Ovis aries: one gene and its partners. The protein of the gene in region 3 binds, or shares a complex with, the protein of the main gene of each other region. Links are inferred from orthologs where the notes say so. Each region holds a gene or a part of one and is shown on either strand. Other genes may lie near its edges. The genes, in order: CALR3, CALR and CELF1.

What was found.
Region 1: CELF1 (region 3) and CALR3 share a complex: the UniProt entries of both Homo sapiens proteins name them as parts of the EIF2 complex. The link is inferred for Ovis aries from reciprocal best matches to the Homo sapiens genes CELF1 and CALR3.
Region 2: CELF1 (region 3) and CALR share a complex: the UniProt entries of both Homo sapiens proteins name them as parts of the EIF2 complex. The link is inferred for Ovis aries from reciprocal best matches to the Homo sapiens genes CELF1 and CALR.

The regions. Positions count from the first base shown.
Region 1 is NC_056058.1:6,298,099-6,301,807, reverse strand, and holds the start of CALR3 (calreticulin-3), read right to left. Parts: upstream 2,860-3,709; 5' UTR 2,782-2,859; coding exon 2,691-2,781; intron 2,477-2,690; coding exon 2,375-2,476; intron 1-2,374. UniProt on the Homo sapiens protein: During spermatogenesis, may act as a lectin-independent chaperone for specific client proteins such as ADAM3. Required for sperm fertility. CALR3 capacity for calcium-binding may be absent or much lower than that of CALR.
Region 2 is NC_056058.1:10,924,152-10,927,898, reverse strand, and holds the start of CALR (calreticulin), read left to right. Parts: upstream 1-1,508; 5' UTR 1,509-1,579; coding exon 1,580-1,670; intron 1,671-2,038; coding exon 2,039-2,140; intron 2,141-2,300; coding exon 2,301-2,504; intron 2,505-2,957; coding exon 2,958-3,052; intron 3,053-3,142; coding exon 3,143-3,352; intron 3,353-3,434; coding exon 3,435-3,548; intron 3,549-3,628; coding exon 3,629-3,747. UniProt on the Homo sapiens protein: Calcium-binding chaperone that promotes folding, oligomeric assembly and quality control in the endoplasmic reticulum (ER) via the calreticulin/calnexin cycle.
Region 3 is NC_056068.1:76,232,875-76,236,521, reverse strand, and holds part of CELF1 (CUGBP Elav-like family member 1), read left to right. Parts: intron 1-1,162; coding exon 1,163-1,350; intron 1,351-2,841; coding exon 2,842-2,924; intron 2,925-3,456; coding exon 3,457-3,505; intron 3,506-3,647. UniProt on the Homo sapiens protein: RNA-binding protein implicated in the regulation of several post-transcriptional events. Involved in pre-mRNA alternative splicing, mRNA translation and stability.

The DNA of each region.
Region 1 (3,709 bases), on a different chromosome or scaffold from region 3:
AGGAGTATGTCAAGGCTGTGTATTGTCGCCCTGCTTATTTAACTTCTATGCAGAGTACATCATGAAACACTGGGCTGGATGAAGCACAAGCTGGAATCAAGATTGCCGGGAGAAATATCAATAACCTGAGATACGCAGATGACACCACCCTTATGGCAGAAAGTGAAGAGGAACTAAAGAGCCTCTTGATGAAAGTGAAAGAGGAGAGTGAAAAAGTTGGCTTAAAGCTCAACTTCAGAAAACTAAGATCATAACATCTGGTCCCATCACTTCATGGTAAATCGATGGGGAAACAGTGGAAACAGTAAGAGACTTTATTTTGGGGGCTCCAAAATCACTGCAGATGGTGACTGCAATCAAGAAATTAAAAGACGCATACTCCATGGAAGAAAAGCTGTGACCAAACTAGACAGCGTATTAAAAAGCAGAGATGGTATTTTGCCAACAAAGGTCCATCTAGTCAAGGCTATGGTTTTTCCATTAGTCACGTATGGATGTGAGAGTTGGACTACAAAGAAAGCTGAGCACTGAAGAATAGATGCTTTTGAGCTGTGGTGTTGGAGAAGACTTTTGAAAGTCCCTTGGACTGCAAGAAGGTCCAACCAGTCCATCCTAAAGGAGATCAGTCCTGAGTATTCACTGAAAGGACTGATTTGAAGCTGAAACTCCAATACTTTGGCCACCTGATGCAAAAAACTGACTCATTTGAAAAGACCCTGATGCTGGGAAAGACTGAGGGCAGGAGGACTTGAAGAGGACAACAGAGAATGAGATGGTTGGATGGCATCATTAACTCGATGGACATGAGTTTGAGCAAGCTCCGGGAGTTGGTGATGGACAGCGAAGCCTGGAGTCCACAGGGTCCCAAAGAAGTGGACAAGACTGAGCCACTGAACTGAACTGAAGGCCATCTGACTCACCCCACTCCTCAGCCATCACCATCACCTCTCAGCACCTCTCTTCTCTGTCTAGTTAAATTCTGTGGATTTTTCCATCCGTGACTTCTATGTCATGATCCTGGGGGGCCACCATGAGGGGTGGAATTAACCAGTATACTGAGTGTCTTGCCTGTATCTGCTCTCAGTAGACACGTGCTGGAGTGAATGAAATGCAGAGTCTAGAGTCCCAGCATTTCTGGCTGGAGGAAGGAAAAATATTGTGGCGGAAAAAAACAAATGACAGCTCCACTCCTTAGACAAGCTTCATAGAACTTGTTATTTTCAACTCCATTTTTTCCACTACAGCCTGACAATTTGGAGCACCATGTATCTATGAAACAATGCAAGTACATTTCAAAACCAGAGGTTGCCTTGGTGTAACAGGGCCAAGATGGAAGATGAATGGAACGTCAACGAAAGGTGGTGAAGAGGGGAACTTTTCATTTAAATCAGGGGTTGGTAAACTTTTTTCTGTTAAAGCCAGGGAATAAACATTTTACACTTTTGAGAGTCTGAACTACTCAATTCTGCCTTGAGAATTGTGATCTGAAAGCAGGCACAGATTGTATGCAAATAAGTAAGCATGGCTGTGTTCCACTAACCCTTTATTTATGGACTGTGAAATTTCAGACACTGCATGGAGTGCTTCGTATAACTTTAATGCATCACAAAATACTATTTCCCTTTCTTTTTTCTCCAACAACTAAACAATGAAGAGGGGACTCTCTGGTGGTCCGGCGGTTAAGAACTGGCCTTGTAATGTAGGAGACAGAGGTTCAGGCTCTGTTCTGGGAACCAAGATCGCACATACTAAGCACCTAAGCCAGGGTGACACAGCTAGAGAGCTCGTGCATGGCAAGGAAAATATCTCACCACAGAACGGAAATTCCCGCATGCTGTGACTGAGCCTTGAGGTAGATAAAAAAAAAATTTAGAAATCTAACTGAGTGTATAAATAAACAGGCAGTAGTTTATCTACTTTTAATTATTAGGAATGAGAAGCCAGAATGGAGGTTATTCTTGGTACCAGAAGGGTACTGACTTGGGGCCGGGTGGGGGCGGGGGACTTGCCTCTAGGGGTGGAAGTGGGGCCTGAAAGTTCCTATCTTGATCTGGGTGTCCAGTCACAAACTATATTCATTCTATTGGACCCCCTAAGATCCATCCACTTGACAGCATATAACTTTTACCTTTTTTTTTTTTTTAACTTGAAAATAAAAATGAGAAGTATCTTCTAATCTTTTCCTTCTGGAGCCTAAGGCCCTCCCGTCTCCAAACCCATATGACTAGCGCTTGTAAAAAGGCATCATCTTGGTCTCTTCTAAAGAGAGAAAAGACAAAACAACCCTACCCAGGCCTGTTTCCCGAATTGTGAAATGGGTGTTGGGGTGTGCCACACCTACCTTGAAACTTAATTTCACGTTTCCTACACTAACCTTTATCTTTCTCTTTATGACCATAAAAATTCCCGGACGAAAGTCTAAAATGCCCAAATTGGGAGTCATTAGTGGAAGGTACCCATCGGTTCCGCCAGCGCTCTGTAAGGGGTAAATAACACAAGTTAGGGCTGAAAATTGTTAATGCGTGTCGTGGGGAGAATGATGGGGACGCCCGAGGCTTCGAAGCTTCAGGGTTTTGATACCACCGATCCTTCGTCTAAAGGCCGGGTCCAAATGGCAACTCAGGCCATCCAATGGGCAACGGGGTATGCGGGAGCTTACACCCCCGCCACCATCGGCGTCGCCTCTTCACCTCCATCTAGAAATTCCTCCTGGAAGTAGACGGTGGCCAGCGCCACCCGCAGCACACAAACTGCCCAGAGCGGGACGCGAGCCGCGGCCATGGATCGTGCGGCACCACTTCTTCTCTTAACCGCCCCTTTGCGCGTCCGGCGGTCTCCGCGGCCCGCCAGGCCCGCCCCGGAACTACAGCTCCCGTCACGCCTCGCGATTATGACCCGAGAGTCCACTGGGCTCTGACGCGCGGTGCACACCAGGCCCGCCCCCAAAACTACCACTCCCATGAAGCCTTGCGATTATGACCTGAGGCTCTATTGGTTCTCAGGGCGCGGGGTGACCCGGGAGATGTAGTCTCTTTTACCCTAGCGCTTTTGCCGAGGGCAACGGTCCCCTCTGGCAGGAGTGTTCCACCGTGAGCGGCGGCAGCCTCCGCGGAAGGACTTCGCGGGAGGAGGTTGGCGGGGTTGGCTGGGCGGTGGCCAGACTTGATGCTTGGGCTCGGGAGAGGAATTGAGGGAAACGGGGCGCCCTCCGGAGCTGAGTAGGTCGGGCAGCGGGAGGGCGGTTCAGGGGCCTCAAGCCTCCGTTTCCCTGTCTGAGGCGCACTGGAGAAGATGGTCCGATGTGGGTCGCTCCAGGCCTTGGGGAACAACCCGCTGGTCTGAAGGGCGCCCCAATTTTCAAAATTTGGTTTATCTTTTAACAGCTTTATTGATAACTCATCTACATACGGTACAGTTCACCCCCATTAAGCTTACAATTCACGTTATTTTACTAAAAATTTACCAAATGGTGCAAGCATCACCACCATCCAGCTTTCGAACTTGTAGGTCACCCGAAGTGTATCTCTCCATCCCCGCTAACACCCGCAGTCGCAGGCAACCACCGATGGGCTTTGTGAGTTTGTGGATTTGCCTTTTCTGGACAGTCCTTGTAACTGGAATAATAGGCTGTGTGGTTTTTTGCATCATCTGGTATTTTCACTTAGTGTGCTGTGTTTGACACGTGCGCATGTTGTGTGTATCATTATTT
Region 2 (3,747 bases), on a different chromosome or scaffold from region 3:
TCAATGCAAAGCCTAGCGTGGTCATCCCAGAGTTGGTGGGTGTGGGCTTCATCACTGAGGAACACTTTAGGTTATACGCCATACTGTTTTGGAGAAGTAGAACCCCAACTTCGTCAAAACTCGTCACACCTCCCTTTCCCAGTCCCCACCACTGGAGGGGAAGTACACCCTCCCCACTCTTTTGCCAGAATCCGCTCCCCCCACCACCCCAACCCCCCACCCCCCGCCTTCGCCAGTTTATTCCTACTTCCCAAGTCCAGAGCCTATTTGCTCAGTTTGGGAAAGTCCCCGTTCTCCTTCCTCCTTCCTGCAGCCTAGGGGTATGGGGCTGGTGTCAGTCACTGCCAGTCATGTGCCTGTGGCCTCAGAAGGCTCTAGTCTCAGGGGTCCTGCCCACCTCTCTTGGACCTTATCTTCCTCACCATCTGCCTCTTTTTTTTTCTCCTCCCCAACGGAACCCCCTGCCCGCTCATATTCAGCCGTTTAATTGCAAAACCAGGCCGTTTGCGGGAGACCACAAGGCGGCGACCCCTTTCATTTACCGGCTGGGGGGCGGGGATGGGAGGGAGGTAAAGGACAGGCTGCAAAGAGAGGAACACAACCTGTCGTCACATCTTTTGAGCCGTCAGGGTCCTTCCCTCTGTCCCAGAAAATCCCTAAAAGCTTGAAAAGCATTTCCGCCGGACAGCAGCTGGCCGGGGTCGCTCCTCCTGGCCTTTCAAGAGATCCTGTGATTTCAAAGAGGCTGAATGACTTGCCCCAGCTCACACAGAAGCAGTCTGACAGGCTGCCAGGTCACTACGGGGACCGTACTGAGAACAGGCACTCTTCCCCCAGGCCTGCAGGGCTCCGGCGCTGGGAGGAAGTGAAGCCCCAGGGCTCGGTGCCCTCTGCCCCATCCCGGGGGAGGGAGGTGTGGGAGGGAGAAGGCGGGGTTGGGGAGGAAGGCGGGGGGGGGGGGGGGGGGGGGGGGCAGGGAGGCGGGTGGAGGACGGGAAGAGGAGTGGGAAGGAAGAGAAAGACAAGGTGGGAATGGTGGGGTTCCCCAAACTCAGAGTAGAAAGACGCTAGGAAAACCTTGCCCACTCAACCCTTGAGTGGAGTCTAGAATGGAGCCGGACCCTAGCTTCACGCAGCACCACAGCTCGCGCGTGTTCTTTAAACGCCTAGATCCCGAACGCCGCGCGCAAGGGAGGGCGGGGCTGGGCCGAGGTCTGGTCACATGACCTGGACTGAGGGGCTCGAGGCCCCCCCGACTTCACCGGTGGGCGTCCCCCACAACGCGTGGTCGACCTTCATTGGCCAGTGGTGCGGCCAATAGAAATCGGCCATCTGGGAACCCAGCGTTCCGAGGCACAGCCTAACATGCTGAGCCTAGAAGGGTCCAATGGAAAGGCAGGGCTATGGCCACAGACCAATGATAAAGTGAGGAAGGCGGACCAAGAGGCCGGACCAGGCTGGTTTGAGAGCAGGCGGGGTATAAAAGGGCACGGCCGGCGGCGGCGTCCGTCCCCACTGCAGAGCTGCTGCCGGACGAGTGACTTAAAGGGCCCGCGCGCCACCGCCCCCTCGGCCCGCCATGCTGCTACCCGTGCCGCTGCTGCTCGGCCTTCTCGGCCTGGCCGCCGCTGATCCCACCGTTTACTTCAAGGAGCAGTTTCTGGACGGAGGTAACGGCTAGTCCCGCTCGAGATCGTCCTAACGACGCGGCTGGCCCTCCGGCCCATATCTGCGTGTCGCTTGTAATTACTGCTCAGAGGGCCAACACGGTTTCCTTCAGGGACTGGAGCCGAAGGCGAGCCTTCCTTCGGCGTCCCTGGGGAGCGTGGAGGGAGCAGCGGCTTTCCGAAGCGGGAGTTAGGGTTTGCCCGAGGATCTTTTAAGTCACCAGAGATGTCAAACTAGAGGTTGGGGTGGGGACGGTCTGGGGGGAGGGGGGAATCTCCTTCCTTGCTCCCAGCAGTTTGTGGCTCCTGGTAGATGTTTGGTGGGGAGTTGATCAGCACCGCCGCGCTTACCTGCCTCTTTGATCCTCTAGACGGGTGGACCGAGCGCTGGATCGAATCCAAACACAAACCGGATTTTGGCAAATTCGTTCTCAGTTCCGGCAAGTTCTATGGTGACCAGGAGAAAGATAAAGGTAAGAACTTAGGAGTGGGTATTCAGATCCAGGAGGACAGAGTTTGGGTATCCCTAGAAGTAGGGGAGGTGAAGGAAGGAGGACTGGTGTGTATTTTACATCCTTAGGGTTCCCCGGGGGGTTGGTGCTGAGCCCTGATCTGATTATAGTCTCTCGGTAGGCCTGCAGACTAGCCAGGATGCCCGGTTCTACGCACTGTCGGCGAGATTTGAGCCTTTCAGCAACAAGGGTCAGACGCTGGTGGTGCAGTTCACGGTGAAACACGAGCAGAACATCGACTGTGGGGGCGGCTATGTGAAGCTGTTTCCAGCTGGTTTGGATCAGACAGACATGCACGGGGACTCCGAATACAACATCATGTTTGGTAAGGGGACTCCACCCTGGTGCTGATTTCTGGTCACTTAGAGGGAGTTTGAAACCCGGGGAGTTCTTTATCGCCCATGAACGGTGGTCTTGAGAGCATAGAAAACACTTACATGCTTTAGGCATTTCTTTCATAGGGAAGGTGAGGGAATAGTTAGGAACCACTTACTGCATTTTTATCATCGACTTCACACTAATTCGTGCAGTTTTACTATATAGGCATTTCCTTGTTCCTAGTTGTGCAAGTGAAGATTGTGAGTTCTGGAGTACTGATGTGTGGTTTGTTTTTTTTTAAGTGTCCTCCCCCAGTTCCTTAGAGAGAAGGTCTGAATTTTGTTTTTTCAGCTTGACAGTCCTGAGTTTAAGAACCAAGTTGTCTTTTTGTAATGGGGTGGGCAGGGGCTTGTAATGGTGGACAGACTGTAGTTCTGACCAAGATCTGCTTCTCACCAAGGCCCAGACATCTGTGGACCCGGCACCAAGAAGGTTCATGTCATCTTCAACTACAAGGGCAAGAATGTGCTGATCAACAAGGATATTCGCTGCAAGGTGTGCCTTGGGGGTGGTCACAAATGGCTGTGAGGGGAGGCTTTGAGCCCAGGCTGGTGGGCGGGGCCACTCATCTTTCATTCTCTTTAGGACGATGAATTCACCCACCTGTACACGCTGATTGTGCGGCCTGATAATACGTATGAGGTGAAGATTGATAACAGCCAGGTGGAGTCAGGCTCCTTGGAGGACGACTGGGATTTCTTGCCCCCCAAGAAGATAAAGGATCCTGATGCCGCTAAGCCTGAAGACTGGGATGATCGTGCCAAGATCGATGACCCCACAGACTCCAAGCCTGAGGTTGGTGCTTGGGCAGGGGCTCCCCACCATGGAGCGTGTGGAGGACAGCTGCTCCTATTCTGACCTCCTAATGTATCCTCAGGATTGGGACAAGCCTGAGCACATTCCTGACCCTGATGCTAAGAAACCTGAGGACTGGGATGAAGAGATGGACGGAGAGTGGGAACCACCTGTTATTCAGAACCCAGAGTACAAGGTGAGTCTGGCACTCTGAGGAGGGTGGTGCACAATGGGGAAGGCAGTGATCTTCGCTCACCCGTCAGTTTACTTCTGCAGGGGGAGTGGAAGCCCAGGCAGATCGACAACCCAGAGTACAAGGGCGTTTGGATCCATCCAGAGATTGACAACCCTGAGTATTCCCCTGATAGCAACATCTACGCCTATGAAAACTTTGC
Region 3 (3,647 bases):
ATGGACTGCAGCCCACCAGGCTCCTCCATCCATGGGATTCGCCAGGCAAGAGTACTGGAGTGGGGTGCCATTGCCTTCTCCTGGTGACAAAACTGGTGACAAAACTGTTTTTCTTTTAAAGAAAAGTGGTGTTTTATTTGAGGTTGAACATTAGAAAGAATGCATGAAAGAAAGAAAGACACATTCGAACATGGTGATGTAATTTCTGGATTTATCAAACACTGACAAAAGTTAACCATGCTAACTATTTGGAATGTCAGGTGTTACTAGTTTGGATAAATGCTCAGAATAAGATTGTGAAAAGGTGGTAGGAGAAGCACTTTGATTCATTCTGAATGGAAACATTTAATAGTGTAAGCGTTTCCCCCATGGTTCTTGACAGTGGCAGGGGTAGGAGTGAAGGCATTTAAACAGGAGTGTTACAGGTTTGGTGTGATCAGATTCGAGGAATTTGTGGACATTATAACAGTTAGAGTTGGTAAGGGAATTAACTGGTAAAATCTTGGAGAAATAGCAGCAAATCGGATTACTTAGAAACAGAAGACCCTAGAATGATGACATCGTTGTTTATATAACAATCGTTTGTAAAAGTTTAAGAGGTTTTATTTTGTTTTGATTGGAGGGCCTCACTCAAGAGTACCAGGATTATGCATGAGACAGCAACACCCAAAGATTAATGTTCTAGTCAGTTCTTAGGCCTTGGAAGTCCTGTGCTTCTGTTCTGACATCTACTGAGAGAAAACTTTTCACCCATCATTGTGTAGATTGAGAATCCTGAATCCTACCCATAAGCAGTAGTCTTTTGTGATTTTGTGGACATTTTATAAAATTTTATTAGCTCTACTTAAAAATGATTAAAGCTTTCTTTAGGAACTTTACCTCTTAAGTTCTGAGACTTCTCTAGCTAGACAAGGAATGACTGGCGTTCGTTTCATGCGTTAAAGCCCAGGGCACCCTAATCAGAGTGGTGCCTTTAGTCTGGGGTCAGATGGAAGGGGTGGCATAGTGCGGGGCGGCTGGGGGCCCTGGTAGATTGAATGTAAGTAGTGAAAAGAAGTAGGCTTTTCCCCCTTACTTCTTCAGGAAGTAGTTGAGACTTTTAAAGAAAGGAACTTTCTCTTAGAAACAACATGGATACATAATAGAAATCCGTTTTATGCAGCTCAAAGAAAATGAACGGCACCCTGGACCACCCAGATCAACCGGATCTTGATGCCATCAAGATGTTTGTGGGCCAGGTTCCAAGGACCTGGTCTGAGAAGGACTTGAGGGAACTGTTTGAACAGTATGGTGCTGTCTATGAAATCAATGTCCTAAGGGATAGGAGCCAAAACCCTCCACAGAGCAAAGGTAAGGAAGGGCCTTGGGTTTATGTGTATTTGCAGTCACGCGCATGCTCTGTCTCGTTGCCAGAATGCACTTGTGGTCATGGCGGGGGGATCTGACTGTCTTTTTGTTGCAGCTATATCTCCCAGTGCAAACTCGTTTAATGGCTTAAAAATAAAAGAAAATCCTCATGAGTGACATCATGAGGATAATTTGTAAGTTGGATCTTGGGCAGTCATTTTCAAGATCTGTAAAGTCAAGAGACAGACTCCTGTGAGTGTCTCATTTGACCTTGGTAATGGAATGACAGAAATAAAGTTGAAGTAAACCCACCACGTAGGGGGTTTTTAGTATTTTAGCTAGGGTAAGTGAAAAGGGGAAGACTGTCCAGGTACTCGTGGGCTTTTGTTGGTGTTACAGAGGCCTTCTGGGATGGCTTAGCAACTAGGAGGGGCTTGTTTATAGATCACCTGGTTGTTATAGCCTACAAAATGAACAGGGGAAGGAAGGCAAGCTGCCTCTGGAAATACCCAGCAGAGGAGAGGGTTTATAGGACTGATAGTAGATCAGGTGTTAGCTTTGCCCCTAGACACATGCAGATATACACTTGTTTTCCCAGATAACCCATTTCAGAGTGATTTTCTATGGAAGCTGTCCTATAGTACAGAGGTAAGCAGGCGTGATTGTCGTGCTTAAACCAGCTTAATAGCGAAGGGTCTAGAGCTGAGGAATTATTTTTTCTTTGTGGCGTAGTTAGCCAAAAGTAAAAGGTATTATAGTTTCCGAAAATGACTGTCAGTGTAATATACAGTAATTTAAAATCTTAATTGCAGGGTGATTTTAAAAGAAATCTATATCATATCTTATGGGACTGCGGGCCTAAGATTTACAAAACATACTTATGCCCTCCCATCCCCAGTAAAAACACAGAGCACAGAGTCCCAAGGTCTCCTCAGTCAAGTGCTGTTGGACATGTAATTATATTTGATGAGACCCAAGAGTCCAAGAAATAGATACTAAGAGAGCCTTGCGCTTAAGTCATTTTATAATTTAATAAGTGATGATTATGTTAAGGCATATGGTAGAAGCTGGCTGCAGTGTAAGGCCTGTTCTGAGAAAGGAGGAGTTGTAGACCACAGGCTGTAAGAGGGCGAGGCTGAGTCTTTGTGCCCAGCGCACTGCCTGGGCAGTGGAGGGCGGGCTGAATGGCGTGGTTCTGTGACCTTTGTAAGGACAGCCATCTTGCCAGCGAAGTTACAGGAGCAGCTAAAGAAGAAGACAACCAGGTGACGATAGCAATAAAGAAAATGGTAGAAAATCTTTTTTTTTTTTTCTCTTCCTTGTTAGATTTTCTCCATCTCCCTCCCTCCCCTCTCGCCACCCACCCACCCACCCATTTGAATAAACCCAGCCCTGGCTTTTGACTTTCAATGTATCCCTGGAGGAGGGAGTGCTCTCGTAAATTATCTCCTTTCAAAGGACTGGTTTGATTTCATTAAGTATTGTTTATTGCAGGGTGCTGTTTTGTTACATTTTACACCCGAAAAGCTGCATTAGAAGCTCAGAACGCTCTTCACAACATGAAGGTCCTCCCAGGGGTAAGAAACTTCTACTAGTAAGTGGAACCGCGGTGGCTTTGACGTGTGGAGCACACTTATGGGGGGAACGGGGTGACTGCCACAGCAACTGATGCAAAGGAGGAATAAAGGGAATGTTTCAAAGAAGATAGATTGAAAGTGATTCTCAGCCGAGAGAATTTTGACTTGTTGACTCACATTCTATTTTGAGGTTCTGCTGAGGAGAGATAATGAGGCAGGCGTGAGTTCAGAGACAGTTCTTCCTTTCTTTGGTGCGTCGGGTCTCGGTTGGTTGCGTCATTGCAGCGTACGGACCCTAGTTGTGGCGCATGGGGTTAGTTGCTCCAGGGCATGTGGGATCTTAGTTCCCTGATCAGCAGTTGAACCCACGTCCCCTGCATTGCAAGGTGGATTCTTAGCCACTGGATCACCAGGGAGGTCCCCAGAGACACCTCTTAAAGCTCGGTTTTGGTATTTCCCTGAGAGTCCTCATCTGTGTTTCCGAATGCCTTCAGTGTGTGTAATGCTAATAGTCAGGTGTCTTCCGTTTTAGATGCATCATCCGATACAGATGAAGCCTGCCGACAGCGAGAAGAACAACGGTAAGCGAGCACGTGCGGGAGTCCTCCCCGTACGCGGTTCCTGCGGGTGTGTTTGCTGCCCTCAGGCATTTGGGTTGCCTCGTGCGCTGATTGCCCTTCTGTGGAGGTATAGTGGCGCATGATATGTCAGTTGCAGCTGTGC